Tamandua tetradactyla: one gene and its partner. The protein of the gene in region 2 binds, or shares a complex with, the protein of the main gene of each other region. Links are inferred from orthologs where the notes say so. Each region holds a gene or a part of one and is shown on either strand. Other genes may lie near its edges. The genes, in order: TRIB1 and COP1.

What was found.
Region 1: the proteins of COP1 (region 2) and TRIB1 are in contact, whole or in part, in a crystal structure (PDB 5IGQ), measured with the Homo sapiens proteins. The link is inferred for Tamandua tetradactyla from reciprocal best matches to the Homo sapiens genes COP1 and TRIB1. Residues at the interface, in NP_071902.2 of Homo sapiens: Ile423, Ser425, Val441, Lys472, Tyr491, Trp517, Asp534, Ala556, Asn557, Cys559, Ala576, Asp577, His578, Lys600, Ala601, Ser603, Thr618, Lys643, Asn644, Phe645, Phe699; in NP_079471.1 of Homo sapiens: Asp355, Gln356, Ile357, Val358, Pro359, Glu360, Tyr361.

What each region holds. Positions count from the first base shown.
Region 1 is NC_135332.1:170,014,024-170,023,973, reverse strand, and holds the start of TRIB1 (tribbles homolog 1), read right to left. Parts: upstream 4,011-9,950; 5' UTR 3,429-4,010; coding exon 3,069-3,428; intron 2,530-3,068; exon of another isoform or gene 2,496-2,529; intron 1,103-2,495; coding exon 810-1,102; intron 1-809. UniProt on the Homo sapiens protein: Adapter protein involved in protein degradation by interacting with COP1 ubiquitin ligase. The COP1-binding motif is masked by autoinhibitory interactions with the protein kinase domain.
Region 2 is NC_135330.1:30,140,071-30,149,893, forward strand, and holds the start of COP1 (E3 ubiquitin-protein ligase COP1), read right to left. Parts: upstream 4,458-9,823; 5' UTR 4,273-4,457; coding exon 3,854-4,272; intron 1-3,853. UniProt on the Homo sapiens protein: E3 ubiquitin-protein ligase that mediates ubiquitination and subsequent proteasomal degradation of target proteins.

The DNA of each region.
Region 1 (9,950 bases), on a different chromosome or scaffold from region 2:
ACCTCTATAATTCTATAATGTTACTGTTCTCCATCTTCCCACAAGGGATGTGGGCCACCTCTTAAAATCAGCTAAGGGCTGTCTGCTGTGGCTTCCTGAACTCTCTTGTCTGCAACCTCAACTCTGAATCTTAATGGCTCATGGTTGTCTTATCAAGTTCATCTTGTCCTTTATGATATAAGCCATGATCTATATTTAGCAGTGAATTCCAGCCAATTTCCATTTATTATTAAATGTGGCTATTTTCTAAAGATGTGTCCAAACAAGCTGTCTCAAAAAAAGGCACCAAAGGATGTGAAGAAAGTATCAGGGACCAAGCCTGAGATGGAACAGGAATGCAGTGTGTAGAAGGGCAGCAGAGTTCTGCCGATACAAGAGTACAACTAGCTCTGCCATACCTTCTAGGTACAAAGAAACACTGGGAGAAGCCAAGATTTGAAAACTTCCTCTAGGAATCAACATTGTGAAGGCCAGGTTGACATTTGCTCCCCAGAAGAGGTGACCTTTCTGAGAACAATGAGGAATAAGCCTGACAATGAGGTAGGAGTTGGGGGCTGGGGGCGGGGTATGCTGGCATCACACGACATCCCACAGAAGCACCAAGGTATTGCCAAGGCCACATTAGAGAGAGCGCAAAATAAACCAACCTTTGCTGTGGTTCCTCAGGAGCAGAACTTCTAAATACTAAATCTGGGACAACTGAGCCCGTGGCTTTTGTTTTCAACCAACACAACTGACCCTAACTGGCTCAGCCTGCACCTTCCTTATCGTTCCAAAAGGCCACAGGAGGAGCTGTGGCAGCCGCTCACCTCTCCTCCGTGGAGAAGACGAATTTCCTAAGCTTCAGGTCCCCCAGGACGATGGCCGACTGGTGGCAGTGAGCAACGGCAGAGACAATCTGCTTGAAAAGTCGGGCGGCCTCCTCTTCCCGCAGCCTCTTCCGGCTTCGCACATAGGAGTGCATGTCCCCAAAGTCCTTCTCAAAGAAGACATAGGCCTTCGTTTCCCCAAGGATCACTTCTACGATGCCAGTGATGTTCCTGTGTGACGGCAGCTGGATGTAAGGCCTGATTTTGTCCTGGTAGTGTTTAATGGGAAACACCTGCAGAGAGAAGGCTGCTATTTAGGAGGCTAGAAAAACAGAGGCCACCTCCCAAATTCATGGCTGGGCTGAAATTCACAGCCTGCCTGCTTTGGTTGATAATAGTAGTATTCGATTCATTTATTCCCTTTCTCTGCCACCTCACCCTGTGCACCCCTAGTACCCCTAGCATCTAGGGCTCTGGGCTAGCAAATATTCAAAGGGTTACCCCGTCACAGACAGGTGCCTGTCTTCCATCAGAACTCAGCTCCTGAGCATACAGCACCAGAGCCCCCATCTTATGTGTTCCTTCCTTGTTTGCAGGCAATGCCACCACTGAGAATCTGTGTGCCTCCTGCAGACCAAAGGGTCAGCCCAGAGGGCACAAAAGTGGTGACTCTGCAGCCTCCCAGCGGAAGCAGGGGCCGGAGAACATGCAGAGCTGTCATTAGTCAGGAGGAACAGATGACTTGGGCAGAGACTGTGACAACGCAGCCTTAAGCCAACCGCCTGCATCCTGACTCAGGTATCAGCAGGCTGGAGTTAAAATTCTCACAGGGTATGGGATCCTCTGAATGGCTTTTTTTTCCCCCCCATCTGTTTCTGCCCTGCTCTCCCCACCCCATCCCCCAGGAAATGGGTAGTATCTCCTCTAAGAAGTCGGCTGGTCTCTTTAAGGCCTTTTGTTTGATCCGGTTACTCATATCCTAGACTCAACTGGAAACGGTGACACACGGGCTGTCACCATCTGGATTCAGCTATTATCTGCTCAGAGGAACTGGAAGGGGTTGCACAATGGCTAGACTCACCCCCCACCCCCTCTGGGGCCTGGCTGCTCTGGCACCAAGTGGATGAATCCCTCTGCTGCCCCCTCCTCGCACCCACCCACCCCTAAACGCACACATACTCTTCCCAAAACAGCCCTTAACCCAGCTACCCAGAAAAAAATTTTTTTGCCCTTTAAACTGGGCTGATCAGGCATTTGAAAGGTCATTCCTGGCGGGCAGTAGGTGGCAGCAGCAAGCCTGGGGGCTGGGGGCGTCAGGTGAGTTGAGAAAAACCCAGGAGCAAGTTTAACTGGGGGGTGGTGAGGGTGGTGACCAGGTCTTTTTCGTGAAAGGATCAGCCCGGAGGGTTCTCGGGGGGTGCCAGGGGGTGGGGTGCGGGTTCACAATGGGTGGCTTGCGGGAATGTTCTGCTTCTATGGGCACTGGAGGAGGAAGCGGCGGATCCTGTTTCTAGGAGTTCTATCTCCTCCTCCTGGATGGAATCCCTTCTATTCAAGCGAAAAGCGCTGGCCGGAAAATAAAGCCGGGAATGGTAGCGAGGGTTCCTCCTGGCCGCTGCGGGCTTCCCAAGATTGTCTACTCCGAGCCAACCACCCTTCCCGGCCGGAAGACCACCCCGCCCCCACCTCCAACAGCTCCCCTGGAAGGGCGGGGAGGGTCTCAGCGGTATACTCGTCCCAGCGCGGGTTCCAGCAGGAATCCCCGAGACAGGACACCGACACAGTCGTCCCACCCCTTTACCACCCACAGCTGAGTCCGGATGCCTTGAAACCCCGGCCAGAGTGCTGCCAGCTGCTCCAAGGAGGCACCCACGGCAGGGCCTCTTTCCAGGACCAGTGGGAGGCGGGGAGGGTGGGGGAAATGAGGGAAGGGGAATGGCATGGCCCTGGAATCCATTTCAATTCCACAACTTATATGGAACGCCACGCGCTAAGCTGCGCGCTAAGTAAAGGAATATAGAAATAAAGCAATTAACGACCACTTCCTCTTCGCCCCGAGCCCCCCTTATTATCACTCAATCGGAAACCCCTCGATTCCCAATAGGGCGAGCCGGGTCAGATCAGTCTTACAGGGACTCACCCCAGGTGTCCGCCCTACCCCAAACAAACCTGAGGCACCAAACGCCCGCGGACCCAACCCCAAGCACCTTCACCCTCCCCGTGGTCTCCCCGGATCCCTGCCGCCTCCCGGACGCCTACCTTGCAATGCAGCTCGCGGCCGGTGTGGATGCACAGCGCCCGGGACACATGCTCGCGCTCGGCCAGGGGCAGCAGCAGGTAGTCGGCGATGCGGCTGGGCCCCGGCGCGCTTCCGGAGCCACCGGCTCCCGGAGGGACCGGCGGGGGCTGCGGGCTGCAGGGCGAGCCCGGGGGGCTGAGGTAGTCCGGGGGGCTCGAGCATTCGGAGAGGCGTGGGCACTTGGCCACCACCACGGCCGCCGCGTCGTCTGCGTCCAGCAGGCGCTTGACCGGGGCGCCCCGGGCGGCGGGGAGTAGCAGGGCCGGGCTGCGGGGCTGCGAGGCGCCACTCATGGCAGAGCGCACCGGGCCGGCCCGCATCCCGTCCCGGGCCGGGGCGGCGCTGGTTTTGTATGTCCCGGGGTCCGCGCCGCAGGGCGCTGCGGGCTGGGCGCCGGCGCCGCGAGTTCTTCCAGCCGGCGGGACGGAGTCTGCAGCTCCGGTTGGGCTCGGTCCCCTCGGAGGGCAGACCAGGAGCCGCTGCCCGGCGCTCGCGTTGCACGCGGGGACCACGCTGGGCGCTTGCCCCGGGGGCGGGCACCGGCTCCCGGCGCCTCGCTGGGGACAGCCGCCGCTATTGTCGCCGCAGCTGCGGGTAGTCCCGGAGGGAGAAGGGGCGGCGGTGACCGCCGGCGCTCTCGGGATCCCGAGCGGTGAGGACAGGATTCGCAGGCTTGGCGGAGCCCCGGAGCAAATGCACTTCCCAGAACAAGAAGTCTCGCAGCAGAAGTCGAAGCAACTTTTCGATGGCGCTTCGGGTCCTACGCGCTCCTGAGCTCCCGGCGTGTGTATGAGCGAGCAAGACGCGCTCGGAGAGAGTGACTGAGTGTGAGTGAGTGTGTTCGCCGCACCGATCCCGGCCAGTGCACTCCTTCTCCTTTTCCTCCACCTCCTCCGCCTCCCGATGACTCACGCTGTATACACACACACTCACAGGCCGGGCTGTGTAAACAGTTGGGAAGCCGGGTTGTGCAATGAGGTGGCTGCGACGGCTCCGGCCCTGCCGCCCTACGAGCAGTCACCGGGGCGGAGGGGGGTTGGCTGATAGAGGGGGGGTTGGAACTGGGCCGGAGGGCTTGGGATGCTGCGCGCACCGCGCGCTGGGGCGCAGGTGGTGCATCCGGGGCCGGCTTGGGCGCGCGCACACGCCCCCCGGGCTAGGCTGGGCTGGGCAGGAGGCGGTGCGCGCCCTCCCGCAGGCCCCCGGCTCGGAGCTAGCAGCAGCAGGAGGAGGGGGCGGAGGAAAAGTTCCCGTGACGTCAGGGTCCCGGGGAAGTGGGCGGGAGGGGCGGGGCCACGGGTGAAGCGGCCCCTGATTGGTGCGCGTTCCCCATTCACACCGAGCACAATGGGCTGCGGCCGCGCGGCGGGCGCGCGAGTTCTCCTGGGCCCCGGCGGGAGGGCGCGTGCACCACGGTTTTCTGCACCCGCCGCTCTCCGCAGCCCTGCGGTCACGCTTTTCGCCCCGGGGATCCCCCACCGTCCCGCGCCTTGGGAGCCCCAGCTCGAGCCGTGGGCTGTAGCCGGAGGAAGGGAGGATAGGGAAGGTGATGAAATCCAGAATCAGTCATTCACTCCTACGCGGTAGTTCCGGGGAAGACCTGTGCGTGGTAGTGGATGTGGCTTTTTTTTTTTTTCCCTTTTCCTGCCTCCTCCCAGCACTAATCCCCAGCGTCTGTTCGCTTCCACAAATAGAACCTTCTGTTGGATGAAATAAAAGCAAACACTGGGCCTTCTGCGCTGCCTCCACCTCCACGCCCCTCCCGCGCCTGCCGCCCGCCGGGATTGCACGGAAATAGCTTCTCCAGGCTCCCGGGCCGCCCCTTCGCGGTGACTCGCTGAAAGAGCTTCCTGAGCCAGGGAAACAAAGGATGTGGGGAGCGGGCGGAAGGGGCCCACGTGGCTGCCGGATTCCTGCCCCTCCCCGGCCTCCACACGCGCCGCAGGATCTGGGGCCCCGGGGCCAGCCGCGGTCCCAGGGTGGGTGGGTAGGGTGGTGGAAGTCACAGCCGGCGAGACTGCCCGCCGCCGGGTACGCCCGCCACCCGTGCGCGTGCATTCGTGCAGCCTGGTTCCATTGAGCACCAAATGTGGGCCGGACCCTGCAAAAAACCCTATGGGAACAGTTTGGCATCTTATGTTCTTTCTTTTTTTTGAGAATCAGGTCAGCAGGCAGTTTCCCTGGACATCCACCTTAGATAACTATCATCAGAGAGTCCTTGTTCTCCTGCTAAATATGGCATTTTCTCAAATCAGGTCGAGCCCTATGTATAAATCCTTTGCTGAATTAATGCTCCATTCATTCAACAAATACTAATTAAGCATCTACTAAAGGCTAGTCTCTGGGGGTTAGAAGATGAAAATTCAAATAATAATAGCTAACATTAATGGAGGCCTAATATGTGCTGACACTATTCTAACTACTTTTCCTACAACTCTATTACTGCCATTTTACTAAGGAAGAATCTAAAGCATAGAAAGGATAAATTGCTTGCTGTGGTCACATAACCCATTAAGTGATGGAGGGCTACTGGGGACACAAAGGAGGAGAGATTGCAATTTAAAGGGAGGAAAACTGGGTGGGGGAGGGCTCTATCTAGAAGGTATTTGACCAGGGCCTTGCAGGGTGTGTGGAACTGTCACCGAGTTGGGCAGGGGGGTTGTATGAATGGTGGGTAGCCAGCCCTGGCAGAGATGTGGAGGAGGGCAGGGTTGGTCCAAGGAGAGTGTCAGATCGGGGTGACTGCAGTGGTGGCAGGGAGCTGAGTCCACAGAGGTCCTTTGTGCCAGAACTAAGCTCTGTAATTGTATGTATCCTACTCCAGGGCATGCACCTCCTGCCCTGCCCCTCCTCAGTGAAAAGGTCACCACCACCCAAGTACCCCACCCACCCTTGGGGCCAGAATCCCTGGCAATGAATTCTCCTTGACTCCTCCTTCTTCCTCAGCTCTCACGTCCACTGGTCACTGGGTGACCATCCTACACCTGTTTGCTCTTTCGGAGCCATGGCCTGCCCTCCCCTGCTCACCTGGGGCTGCGCCTTGCAGACTCTGCTTCCCTGGCTCCCGGCCCTGTTTGCCCAATGGGAAGCTCTGGAGAGACACTGGAAGGTGGGAGGAGAGTAGCCAGGCCCCCCTCCCCTTCTCTCTGTGTTGGGCCCCGGCTCCACCTCCTCTGTGGCTCCAGCCCCTGCCAGCAACCGCTCTGCCCCTGGGCTGCTGTGATGTGCTGCCCAGGCACCCCTTCAGGCAGAAGACTTTATTTCCTCAGCTGCTGGGAGTGCGTATCTGATCCCTTTTTGGAAACTGCCTTGACTGAGAAGACTGCCTTGCCCAGGGTCCTGCCCCCTGTCCAGAGGGTCCACATTTAATGGCTGGTCATCCCGGGAGTATAAAGGTCCTGCCTCCTTGCTCACACTTGGGACAGCTCCGAAGGGCACCCCAGCTTCTGAGCTCCCTCTGGGGTCACCCGAGGCCTTTGTTGAGATTGCATCACAGCCTGTTTTTTCCTTCTGCCCAATCCTGCTCCTTTCCTTCCCTTCCAAGAGTTTCGTAATGAATCATGAAGCCCCTGCACGCTAGTCTCCGTCGCAAAGGCTGTTGTTCCGTGGGAAAACTGATCCAGAATGCCCTCTCTTCACACACCCAGCTCCTCGCAGGGTTTCTGGTTCCTGGAACCAGGTGATAACACCACTTCTTGCCTCCTGCCCCCAGGTGGTAGCAGCTTCCCGATATTGCTCACTCCTGGGTTGCCCTCCTCACAGGCCCCCTCCCTGAACCACAGGGTTTTGTCTTGTTTCTGTTCTTTCAATACTTTTGTAACTAGTCCCCCACATTCAAGAGTTTTATTGAACTTTCTGGCCTCTGCTCCTTTTTCTTACAGAACCCTGAATGATGCAAATTCTGAACCTCTCCCTTCCTCTCCTCTCTCATAATTTTTGTTCAAGGTCTTCACCTGGATTTCTGCAGTAGACTTCTCTAACTCACTCATTCATTCCCTTAACAAACACTGAGCACCTGCTCTGTGCTAGTGCACCTACCAGGTGCTGGAGATGGAGTGGGGAATGAAACAAAGTGTCTCTTCTCCCCTCAATCCATTCCTCATGCAACTGTCAGAGCAATTTTCCTAAAATTCATATGTGATCATTTCAGGCCACTGACCTAAAAATCACTCAGGGGAAAAGTAAGCCCTTCTTCCTTGGCACCCCCCTTCCCTTCCCACTCCCAACTTTCTCCTCGCCTCGCCTCCACCCTACCTCTGCCAGCTCCTAAAAGGGGCCCAAAGTCACACCAATGTACACCTGTGCACTTCTACTGGTGCGCCTCTCTCCCTCTGGACTGCCCTTCCCTCCCCTCCCCCACCAAGGGCTGAACCCACTCATCCCTCAAAAGCGCTGTTACCTCCGGCAGAGGCTCTCCCGCAACCCCCCAGTCAGGTTTAAATGCCCTCCCAGGCCCTGCTGGGTCCTCCGTCCAGCTCTCCCCAAGGGCAGGGGCCGTATCTTATATGGCTGTGTATCTCCAGCCCCCAGCACCATGCCTGGTACAAAGGAAGAACTCAGTAAGTGCCACTGGTAAAAGAACTCAGAATGAGTGTGCTCAAGGGCAGAGGGTCAAGCAGAAGGAAAGCCGGCGACAAGAGACAGGGAGGGGGACAGGTATTCAGGCAAAGACAGGCAGCTGGAGAGTAGGGCTCAGGCTTCAGAGGCTGATGTTCATCCCCGGGAAACAGCGGGGTGTGGATCTTTGGGGAAAGCGGGGCTTAAGCCTTGGGGCTGCGGGAGAGTGGAACATGGACTCGTGGGGCTCTGAGATCAGGTCAGCCAAGGGATGAGTGAACCAACCAAAATGGTCTCAATTTTATCGCTGGGGCTTTCCCTGCTGGCAAAGTCTGGATTGAACTCCGTCGGACTTTTCAGATACTGACAAGAGGAAGCCAGTTGCCCTTTATGTGCCTCGGTTGCTTCACCTTTGAAGTGGGCATACTAAAAGACCCACTTTCCCTCCCCTACAAAGCTCTTATGAAAACAAGTGGGTAAAAATAAGTGAAAAGTACTTTTGATTTATACACCCATGCACAAAATGGAGACATTATCAGATATAGGTATGCCTTGATTTTGAACTATATTCATTTAGTCGACAAATGATTTATTAAAGGATTGCCACGTGCCAGGATTGTAAGGGGCCTTTACTATGAAAATCTACATTTACAAATACAAATATATATGGAAATAGGATATTAATTGGGAAGTAATTCTTCCCATGGCACGGGTTCCTTGCTTTATAAATGGTCTGCCAGGTGATTTCATTAGAAAGACCCTTTGGCACATTTAGAATGTAGCCTGGTAAATAAGATCTTGGAAATCCAGAATCCCCATCACACCTCATTGTGTGTGTGTGTGTGTGTGTGTGTGTGTCTGTGTGTGGGTACCCTGCATGGCCTCAGCACTATGCTGAGCTGACACTGAATGCTTAATACATGTTGAACTGGAAAATAAATTTGATTAATAGCTGACTTTTCAGGAACTCACATATTGCATAATGTGGAGAAACCTGTATTCATCTTTTTGGAGAAGTTTGATTCACTTTCATTCATGTCAAGGTAGATACCTGGAAACAACACATGCGTTCTACAAACTCTAAAATGCAGGGAAAGTTCTCATAACTACCTGTTTCCATCTCCCCGCTTCACAGTACATGAGGTTTTGCAGCCATACAAAAATGGGTATTTGTCGGGTACTTGATGCTTCCTGACCCTAAATTTTAAACAAACAAAAACAAAAAAAAGTCAGGTTACATCTAGGAAAGACAGTATTAGCATATAAAAGACAATGTCTCAAAAACTAGGAAATGAAATAAACATTTCTGGTATATGAGTTCCTGGTATATACCAGACCCCTTTCAAATTCTGTAATTTAATATTCAAAGCAATTTTACAAAATAGTTGTTATTATCAACATTTGTGCAGCTGCACAAATGGGCTCAGAGAGGTTGACTGGCTTATCTAAGGTCACACAGCTACGAGATGGCAAAATTAGGATTTGAACCCTGGTTACTGTCTCCAAGCCTCGCTCTTTCTACTTTATGCTCCACCTCAATCTCCCAATGAAGAGAAATTCCATTCAAAAAAAATTCTCTTCTTTTATTTTAAGGGAATGGGAAGCATTAGACACCTACAGGTGTGGGGACCTGAGCGAGACGGAGTCTTGTGGATGTGACTTGATTCCCCTTCTCTTCCAGCTTTGGCCACATGTGACCTCCAGGCATATTCACGACATCCCGGCTGACATATTCAAGCTCCATCTACAACCACTGCGTCCCAACAGTCACTGCTCCTGGGCCTTCCTGGAGCAGCCACGTCCCAGAGATGCAGACAGCGGTGGCAGCTGGTCACCTTGGGAAAATGGACCAGGGAAGAGACCCCTGATCCTGGAAGCAGATTCCAGGCCTTTAGGGCAGGGGATTCCAGGGCCCAGGACAGCTGGGATTTGGTCGAGAAGGGCAGGTGCAGGTTCTCTATAGGCATAGCCCCGTGCCCCTGCAACTCCTTACCCTGCAATGGAAGATGCAGTCAGAGGAGAGTCAGGCTGACCCCCCAACTTCCCAGGTCTAAGGGGCTGATCCCCCATGAAAGATTCCTGGTCACTGAACCAAGACCTCTCACCTCCCCTCGTGCCCACTGCTGCCTCTTTAAAATGTTTTCCATCTTGACCTGATCTGTAATTAGCACAGTCACTGCCCTTCCAGGAATGAACCCTCTTCAGGGAAGCTGAGCGAACAGAAATATAAACAACTACAGCCCAGTGCCTAGAAAAGGGAGAGAATAACTTGGCAGGGAGAGGAA
Region 2 (9,823 bases):
AGGACCATGTTTAACTGCTATAATCTGACATCTTCTGCAAAGCACATTTCATTATCATCACTATCCAAATGTATTATAAAGCAAAAAACACCACAAGATTTTAGTTTTGCAGATTGAAGGAGGTTCTTGGCTAGTGTTACTAAAATAATAATGTAATGAATTCTAAAATTTATTTAAATGGCTGAATAAATTACATTTCTATATTTACAAGTTAGCAATAATCTAAAAAAATTCTTAAAGTTTTCACTTACACATTTCCTAAATGTCACAGGGGAAATTATATCCCATAATTCAGGGACTTTCAAAAAAATTTGACCCTGATAGTAAGAAATACTTTACACATCACATCCATACACAAATAACCAAAAATAAAAGTTTCATCAAACTTATCCTATTAACAGGTTCTATGATTTGTTCCATTTCATTTTTTAAGAGTTTGAAAAACATAGTTATAGGTGCAAGAACAGCCAACAGATTTCATTTTCAGTGCTAAATGTGATTAAAAGTAATGGATGCCTCGAGCACCATGCTGAGGATTGTGAGACAACTGAATTAAGGAGAATATTTGATATCTGCCATTATATTAAGAGATGGGAATAGTAACAATGATGCCAGGTTAGACATTATAATTACATGATTAAAAGTCTTTCTTTGCATTAAATCATGAGCTCCTTAAGGACAGAGTCTGTCTTAATAGTTTAACACAAGATGGGACTCACATAATAATTTGATCCTACCTACTTTTTATCAGACAGACGATTAAACTACTTTCTATCAGACAGATGATTAAGATTGTAACTTTCCAACAAGGGGCTTACTATCTACTTGAAAACAGATTACTTCAGCTGCAACTTTGAGAAACTAGGATTTCCAGACATCGAAATGGTATTCCAGGTAGTTAAAAAAACTAATAAAGAGGCAGTACCTACGAACAGAAATGAAATAAAGGAGTCAGAATAAAAGAATGGAGAAATCTTCCAAATATAAGACAGATACATAGTTTAGTTAAATGGACGATGCAAAAGAAATTTGTAAAATAAAAAGTAAAGAACACTTCTTTGAATGTAATGAATTGACCAGTGTCGAGCTAAATACTTCTCTCTCGTACCACAATCTCCACCTATAATTTACTGTTAAACTTATTTGTATGAAATGTAAAAGTACAAATTATCCCTAGAATTTTAATAATTTCTGCAATTAAACATAATTTTCAAATATGATATCAGTCAAGAGAAATCAATGTATATTACCGAAAATTATGTATTTGACTTAAAATCAATTGTTCCCAAGAGAGGAAGGAGGATATGCCATTATCACCTGGAGAGCTTTTGGAAACTACACTGCCCACTCTAGTCTGCAAACCTGGTATGTCCTCTTGGGATAAGTGGCAAGCAGCAGGGACAGTGGGAAGAAGTTGCTAAGGATAAAAACATTTATCTCAGGTCATTAAGAAACAGTTGCTTTCCTCTCATTTGCCCGATTTAAGAACCATCAGACTAACGATTTCATAAAAAGAAAGCACTAAGCTGAGAACTGGAAGATCCGAGTTCTCACTTTTGTCCCTTAGCTGTCTGATCTAAAACAGTTACTTAACTTGTCTGTGACTTAATGGGAATTTAATTAAATTCGTATTATGTTAAAATAGGAAGTGCTCTAAGAATAAAACGAGATGTGAGATACAAAAATATATGATAAATAAATAAGGAATAATCATCATTATTCAAACTTGGGCCTCATGTAGATATAAAACTAAGAGCAGGGCAGGCCATGGTGGCTCAGCAGGCAAGAATGCTTGCCTGCCATGCCAGAGGACCCGGGTTCGATTCCTGGTGCCTACCCATGTGAAAAAAAAAAAAAAAAAAAGCATAGAGCAATTTGGTTCATACTTCAACCCTTGGGCCTACCAGAGAGACAAGCTACCTACAGCCAATTAGAAACTAAAAGGATTTGCAAAGACTTGCCCAATCCATGTCCTCCTACCCAAAGGGTTTGGCCAAAATCAAAACTGGCTGGAGAAACTGAAAACAGATTCCATTAATTAATTCTTTCATTATTCAACTTCACCAGAAAAACAAATAATGGACTAATAAGCTCCCAGAAGTTGAAATATTCAGAATTTTTAACTGAAAAATCTCACTGATACTAGAATATAAAAGAAAACAGAACAATCTAAGGAATATGGCTAGGATTCGAGAGTGGATTAAAATTCTTAGAAGTAAGGTGATGACTATTAAAAATTTTAATAATCTTGCCCTTAAAAAATCAGTGCCAGCTGTTTCTATGTCCCCTGTCCTCACCAAATCTCTTTAAAATGGCCTAAAGTACATGCAACTCATATGGTGCCTGTCAATGAGTACTAAATAAATGTTTGTTGAATGAATGATTTCTTTATTTCTTACATCTTTTGTACTATTTTAGTATACATATACAGATGCTGGCATTTGTTTTCTTTAACCTGAAAAGTGAAGTGTAAATGGTAACTGAAATGACTAAATTCTGCAAACCCCCACTTTGTTATATTAGCTTCTACCTTATCATATGGCACTCTCTACTGGGCATGAGGGCAAACACCCAACCTTAAGCTGCTCAAACTATTTATAATCACAATTATAGACGAATTTCAATGAAAAAAATGAGTTAATTTTTAATCCAGAATAATTAAGACTAAAGCAGAAATATGAGTAGACACATTTTTTTCTGGAGGAGCTAAAACCTGAAAGTCTTACCAATAACTTCCCTTTAAGTTCCAATTCTAGCTCTATCACATATAATGACACCAACTCAAGATTATCTTTAACCCTGAAAAGTGAATCAACTTCTCCAATAGCACAAGCCAACTTCTTACATCACTAGTATCTTAAGCCTATCAACAATTTCCTCCAGAGGAAAAGGACAAAATCCTACCAGTTCTCAGCTATAAAACAATCCTCTCATAATCCTACCAATATCCAAAGCCCAATGAAAATCCCAAACCCTATCGCTAGACAACTCTAACTTAATACGGGTAATCTCTCTATGTCAAATATCATGACTTAATATCCCTGTGTATCATTCAAAATGCACAAAACATTGCGTTGTTTTTTTTATGACGACAAAGTCTCCAATATCTAGAGTTTCTCAAATTAGTAGTTCCTGTATTACACTGTGTTCTACAAGCATAGTACAGTTTGCCTGATACATTGATGGTACTTAATAAATACAGTTCCTCTTTCAAGACATTCAATTAAGAAGTTTTTTTTTTTTATGAACAGACTTTTCTGATTACAGTAGCCTCGAAAGCAGATTTAAAAGCAAGTGGTCTGCACTTGGAAATGTGAGAAGTTGTATCTAAACACACATACACATACGGTGGATATTTATATTCAATACTACTTCCCCTTAAAACAGCCTCAATCCCGTTTTTTTAGAGCTCCATGCACAATACTTCCAATAAGCAACTTCATACTTCCAAAACAGAATTCCATCCCTCTGTTCTGTACAAACTTAATTCACCTCAACAAGAAATAAAACTGATCTGGGGTACCTAATATACAAGTTGGCCAGAAAAAAGCAAGCTTCAACCTGCTTGCCCAATTTTATCCTTTTTTCTATCATTTATGTGACCCTCTATCTCTTCTCTCCCATTTATTTATTATTCCCTAAACTCCTTTCATTTCCTCCCTACCTGCACTTATCTTTTCATTACCCACCCTGCCTCAGGACCCCATCATCCCATTCCACCACCTACTGGCTCCCATCTCTCTGACACCACCATAAGAGCACCAGTATCCCAAGCTCTCAGGCAGGCCACCCTCTCACTGACCCCAACAGATACTCTTAAGGTAGCGAGGCAGGAATTACTCTTCAAACCCACCACACGAAGTCGTTGCTTTTGTCTTCGTAGGAGTTGATGAGCCCGTTGCAGAGTGGGGTGAGCAAAGGTCGCTTCCTGCTGCCGCTACCTAGGCTGGAGCTGCTCCCACCTACGCCGGCGCTGGGCCTGGCCGTGCAGCTGATCCGGGACAGGCCCGCGGACACCGCCCCGCCGCCGCTCCCGGCGCCGCTGCCCGACACGGCAGCCGCCACCAACACAGGCCGCACCGAGCCCCCGAGGCCGCCCGAGCCCGCGGCCTGGGCCGCCCCGCCGGACACTAGCGCCGCCGCCGACGCTGCCACGGAAGGGGGCGACGGGGAGGAGGATAAGGACGAGGAGGCGGAAGTCACCGAGGAGGCCGCGGAAGAGCCAGGGCTAGTCCCAGCGGAGCCCGACCCGGCCTGGCGGCTACCGGACATCGTGACTCCCTCTCCTCCGGGGTTCGGAGGAGAGGGACCCGGACCTCGACCGGCCGCCGCCTGCCCTCCGCTCAGCCTCAGTGCATCCTGAGGACGCGCGCACGCCGGGAGGTGGGGCTGTGGAACAATAAAGTTATTTTTTTAAGGCAACCACACAACAGCGTCCGATGGGAGGGGGCGGAGGAAACTAATGAAGGAGAGTAGAAACCACTACCGCTCTCGAGGCCGCCGCCGCCGCCGCCGCCGCCGCCGTGGTCGCAGCCGCAGCCAACCCCGGCGTGCCGTGAGCCGGCCGTGCGCGCGCGCGGACGGCGGAAGGGGCGGGAGCGGCGGGGAATACAACTTCACACAGTCCGAGCGACCCTCAGCGCGCACCAAAGCCTTGGGCGCTTAGCAATGGGAAAAATCCCTTGTCGAAAGCTGTTTTCGTGCCTGACATATTGGAGGGAAGGCGTCTTAATCCAGTGAAACTGCTGAGGAGAGTGAACAGATTAGTAAAGAGTGGCGAGGTAGTTTACAGGACCTGGGGACGACGGGGGCGCTATGGGTGACTGCGCACGCGCGCTTTGGGCGCAGACCCTTGCGGGTTTGCCCGGGTGTCCCAGCTCGGGACCAAGAAGAGTATAGCAGTCGTTAAGTCGCTGTACACGCATGCGTGGGAGCGAGCCGCATTCCTCCTGGGTGTGAACGATGCGGTCGCTGCCCTCTGCGACGCAGACGATGTGACTCAGTGGCGCCTTACCAGTTAGGGATGAAGGTGCTGTAAGCACACGGAAGGGAAACGTGAAGCGCGGAGCAGTGGAAAGATCAGTAAACTGAGACTCCAGGCCAACGGGCTCTGCTGTTAAGCTATTCGATGATGTTGTGAGAAAGTAAGATGAACTTAGTAAAAAGTGCTTCGTGAATTCCAAACCTTGTAGCAGTTACCAGTTTTACAGGTTCGACTGTGAGCTCACGCCTATATTTTGAAAAGTTGTTTACCAAGTTGAGTATAACAATTATGGGAAACGAACTATACTTAATCAGACAATAGATTATTCAGAACCTTGGTTTAATGTGGGCCTGATATAATTCTGGCACAGAACAGGGAAACCTGGCACCCGAAAATGTGCAATATCTTTTAGGTGTTGTGGAATATTGAAAATTGTTTGCAGACTTTTGCTTATCACTTTGAGAATGCCCAAAATTCTAGAGAATGTAAGTTAGAAACAACTGAACTGTGTGATTTTTAGTATCCTTTCCAACTCTATCATTCTATGACTCTTAGAGGAAAGAATCCCAGATTTAATTGTGTCGTGGGTGTTGAAGACACATACAGGAGAAACGACATACTTACCTGACTGTCTGTGGCCCGGGGGGCAGGATTAAGGACAAACCTGAATGAAGGTTCATCCAGCAACCCAAACCTCGCTGCCCAGCTGGGCAGTGATGGCAGACACCCTCTTCCAATTCAACCTTAAACTGCTCACTCATATTCCAAGATTCTTGGGTTTAGCTCAAGTTTCTGCTCAGAGTAATGGTATAGGAATTGCGTTATCAGTTTTCTAAGAACCATCCTTTTCATGCAAAAATATTGCAATCCCTTGTTTCAAATCACTTTCAAGACCCAACTGAAATGTGATGCCTTCCCTAACTCTCCTTGACAGATAATAGGGCCGTCCTTTTTGCTGCCAAGATGTTATGTTTGCACTTATTACATTGTATTTTAGTTGTTTATATGTGATTCTTCCCTACCATCTGCTTCAGTATTATACTACCAACATGGATCACAAAACATGGCCTGTGATGGGTGATTACTAAGTGTTGACTAACAAATGAGTAAATGTATCCATTTCATTTTTTTTTTTAATTATTTGTTCAATGTCTGTCTTACCAACTAAACTGAAGTTCCATGAAAGCAAAGATCAGCTTGGTCCTCGGTGGATATTCAATTAAGTATTTGATGATGGAATACATAAATGACTGAATATAATGAATTTGATGACTTTATTGAATGACATTAAGCATGGACGGGGCAAGGAAGAGACAACGAAGTGTATAAAACATTGTTCCAGCATTCAAGAAGCCTATGGAATAATTGAGGAAATAGAGAAATATACAAAAAAATAATAATAAGTAATGATACCAAAGACCACATGCTAAATGCTTAATGAGTAAAACAGAATAACTACCGGAACTGAAGCAAGAGCAAGTACTGAGGGACAGTCATTTTTGTTGGAGGAAGGAGTTAGGCCTTTAAAGAAAAGTCTGTTTTTTTAAAGCAAAAAAATAAGTAAAAATGCTATGTCAAGTATAGATATCTAGAATGTATTCAGGAGAAATTCATCTGGGAGGCCAGATTGGAAAAGGCCAGTATCCAGTTTGGAAAATATGCTTTAGTTAATTGGAAATAATGAAGGTACAAGTTGGGGGAAGAAAGTATTCAAAACGTTGTTTGAAGAATACTGAGCTATCAACAGATTAATCTTTCAGAAGAGGTGGGAAATTAAGAGCAAATAGACGAATCAGGAAAAATTACAGCAGGCCAGGCATACGTGATAAGAGACTTGGATGGTAGCAGGAAAGACAAGGAAATATTCTGGAAGAAAAAAAAACAAACTATGGAATCTATAGGACTAAGTTACTCTAAAACAATCTTTAAGATCCTCAAGGGCATGACTCTGTCTGTTTTATTCATCTCTGTGTTTCCCAGTGCTTAGGCACAGTACTCGATATGTTAAATAAAAATGATAGAGCATGAAGAGAAATGAATAATTCCAAAAATTACTCTGGGGATAGCAGTAGTACAATGACAGAAGTGGAGACTTCCAGTGGATAATTTAGTTGGAATGTGCTGATGAAAAACATTCAAGTAAGTATATTCAGGCAGTGACTGAAACTGCAGGGCTAAGGCACATGCAAGAAATACTTGGAAATTAGTAACGGAATGTAACCGAGAAATCAGGATTTAAGGGATGATTTTGATATAAATATTCCTTTTAGCTTTCTGATATTGGAATAGACAGGGAAATACCTGAAATCTCTGAATTGTAATCCAGCTGCCGTGATCTCTAGTAACGGTTGTATAGCCCTTATCTTCTCTCCCTGTGATTGTAAAAACTTTATGACTAACCTTCATCTGTACCTGGTTATCTAGTTTTTCAACTTCAGAGTCTTGGAATCACTAAAGACAGCCCCTTAATGTTTGTTAATGAAGTCTTGGGTCCGCCTGAAACTAAACCACCCCAAGTCCCAAATTATCTTGATGACTGAGACCAGATTTAACCTTAAGTGGGTCCATCTGACATGCACAGTAGCTTGGGCTTTAACCTACAAGTCACCCATACCTCATTCCGCCATTTTCCTTCATGTGTTCTGTGACTAAGCATGTAATCAATCTGCACATGCTCAATAATCACATCACCTCTAATTATATCATCTGGGGTCACTCTGCTCATTATCCTAAACCCTGGTTACTTTTTCTCTAACAAAACTACCCGAATTACTGCAGTTCTAGAAGACAAATGTTGGGTCATTAGGACATCTGCTCTCCTACTACGTGCCTAGTAATAAACTCTTTCTCTCTTTGAAACCCTGGTGTCTCAGGAACTGGTTATTGAGCACAGCAGGCAGAAGAATCCATGGCCTTTATCTGGTAACTGGAATAGTATACCAATCTTCAAATAGTTCATACTTGTTGAACATATTATTACTTCTGTGACTCTCTAACTTTGGTGCAGAGAAGAATTATGTAGCGAGTTTGTTAAAATTGCAGATTGCTGAACTCCACCCTAGAGATTTTGACTCTATAAACCTGAGATAGGGTCTACAAATATACATTTTTCCCAGCATCCAAGTGAATCTGATGCAGGTGACCAACCCTTTGAGAAACACTACTTTATTATGTGGGAGAGTTACAAGGAATATGTGAAGCAGTCTCTCTTCCTTATTCAAATGATAGAAAGTGATATGACCCCAGCTGAGTCCCCTAGGAAAAAAAATCAACACTGATTAGTATTTCCACTTTGAAACCTATCTTCAATAAAAATCTAAATCCTCAAAACTGAAGGGATGTAATGCAATGGAATTTCCCTTTTATACCAGATTAATGCAGAATATACCAGACTATATTCCGAAAACAGTTTCTACTGCAGAAGCTTCTGGGAAAGCAGAAGAGAAAAGAGGAAGCATAGCAAAAACAAACACAGAGAAGGAAGTCAGACAACTGAAAATAAGAGAAAAGAAATAGAGAACAGGAGGAGAGAAAACAATAAAAAATGTAAATAAGGATTAAGTAAAAAGCAAGGTTTAATAGTTAAAAGAACTCCATTGTATTTGACAGGAAAACGTCAGCAGTACCACAGCAACAGCAGGCGTAAATAATCGGGGGAGGGACAAAAGTTAAGGGAAGGTTTAGATTTCCTATTTGGTGAGGGTGTGTTAATTGGCTATCTTTCTCTGAGGAATAATGAAATTATCTAAAATTGAGAGTGTTGATACACTGTGGACTTTGAGCACTGTACATGATGCCTAATGAATGCAGGTGGTTGAAGGATGCAATGACAGAAGTAGATTAGCGAATGATGGTGTATACATATGATAGCATATTGTGCTGCTACAAAAGGGAACGAAGTTGTGAGGCATGCAACCATGTGGAACATTTGATGAGGCAAAATAAGCCAGAAATGAAAGAACAATTACTGTGTGGCCTCCTTTAGAAAATGCTTATAAGAAAACAGGGGCCTAAATAGTAAGCTCTAATGGCAGACACATTTAGTCTGGAGTGGTAATTATTATTTCTGGATTTTGAGAGGCTGTTTTATGTATCTATTACCTGGTATTTAGAGATAAAAACAAAGCCAGTCAGGTCCCGATTTAAGGTAATTCAGAATACAGGGATAAGGAAGACATTGTCTGTATTTTAGGACCACATCTACGCTTTGAGACCAAAGGGAGAAAGGCGTATTTTGTCTGGAACCTAAACTTTCTGTAGCACATAATCTAACTCAACCTGTCTGGATAGCTCATTCAGATAACTGAAATACAGGGAGACCAGAATAAGAATGAGGGCCTTTAATCCAGTATAGTTTAATGCAATGCTTGGATACATTGTAGAATATATTAAGCAGATAATCAAAAAGTATTGGCGAAGTCCCTTGAGGGATGGGAGAAGAACTATGGAATTATTAAACTTTACCATCAAGGAGTCCCCTGATACTAATCCTGTATCAAACATTAGGGACACCCAAATCAGTAGGCCAAGCCCTTGATCTGGAGGCTTACTGTTGCAAAGCTTATATAGGTAGCGGAGAAGCTTAGCCTACCTATAGGCATGCCTAAGAGTTATTTCTTAAGGACCTCTTTTGTTGCTCAAATGTGGCCTCACTCTCTAAGCCCAGCTATGCAAGTGAAATCATTGCCCTCCCTGCTATGTGGGACATGACATCCAGGGGTGAAAGTCTCCCGGGCAGCGTGGGAGATGACTCCCAAGGATGAATCTGGCCCTGGCACCGTGGACTCAACAATTCCATCCTGACCAAAAAGGGGAAGATAAATGTAACTAATAAAGTGT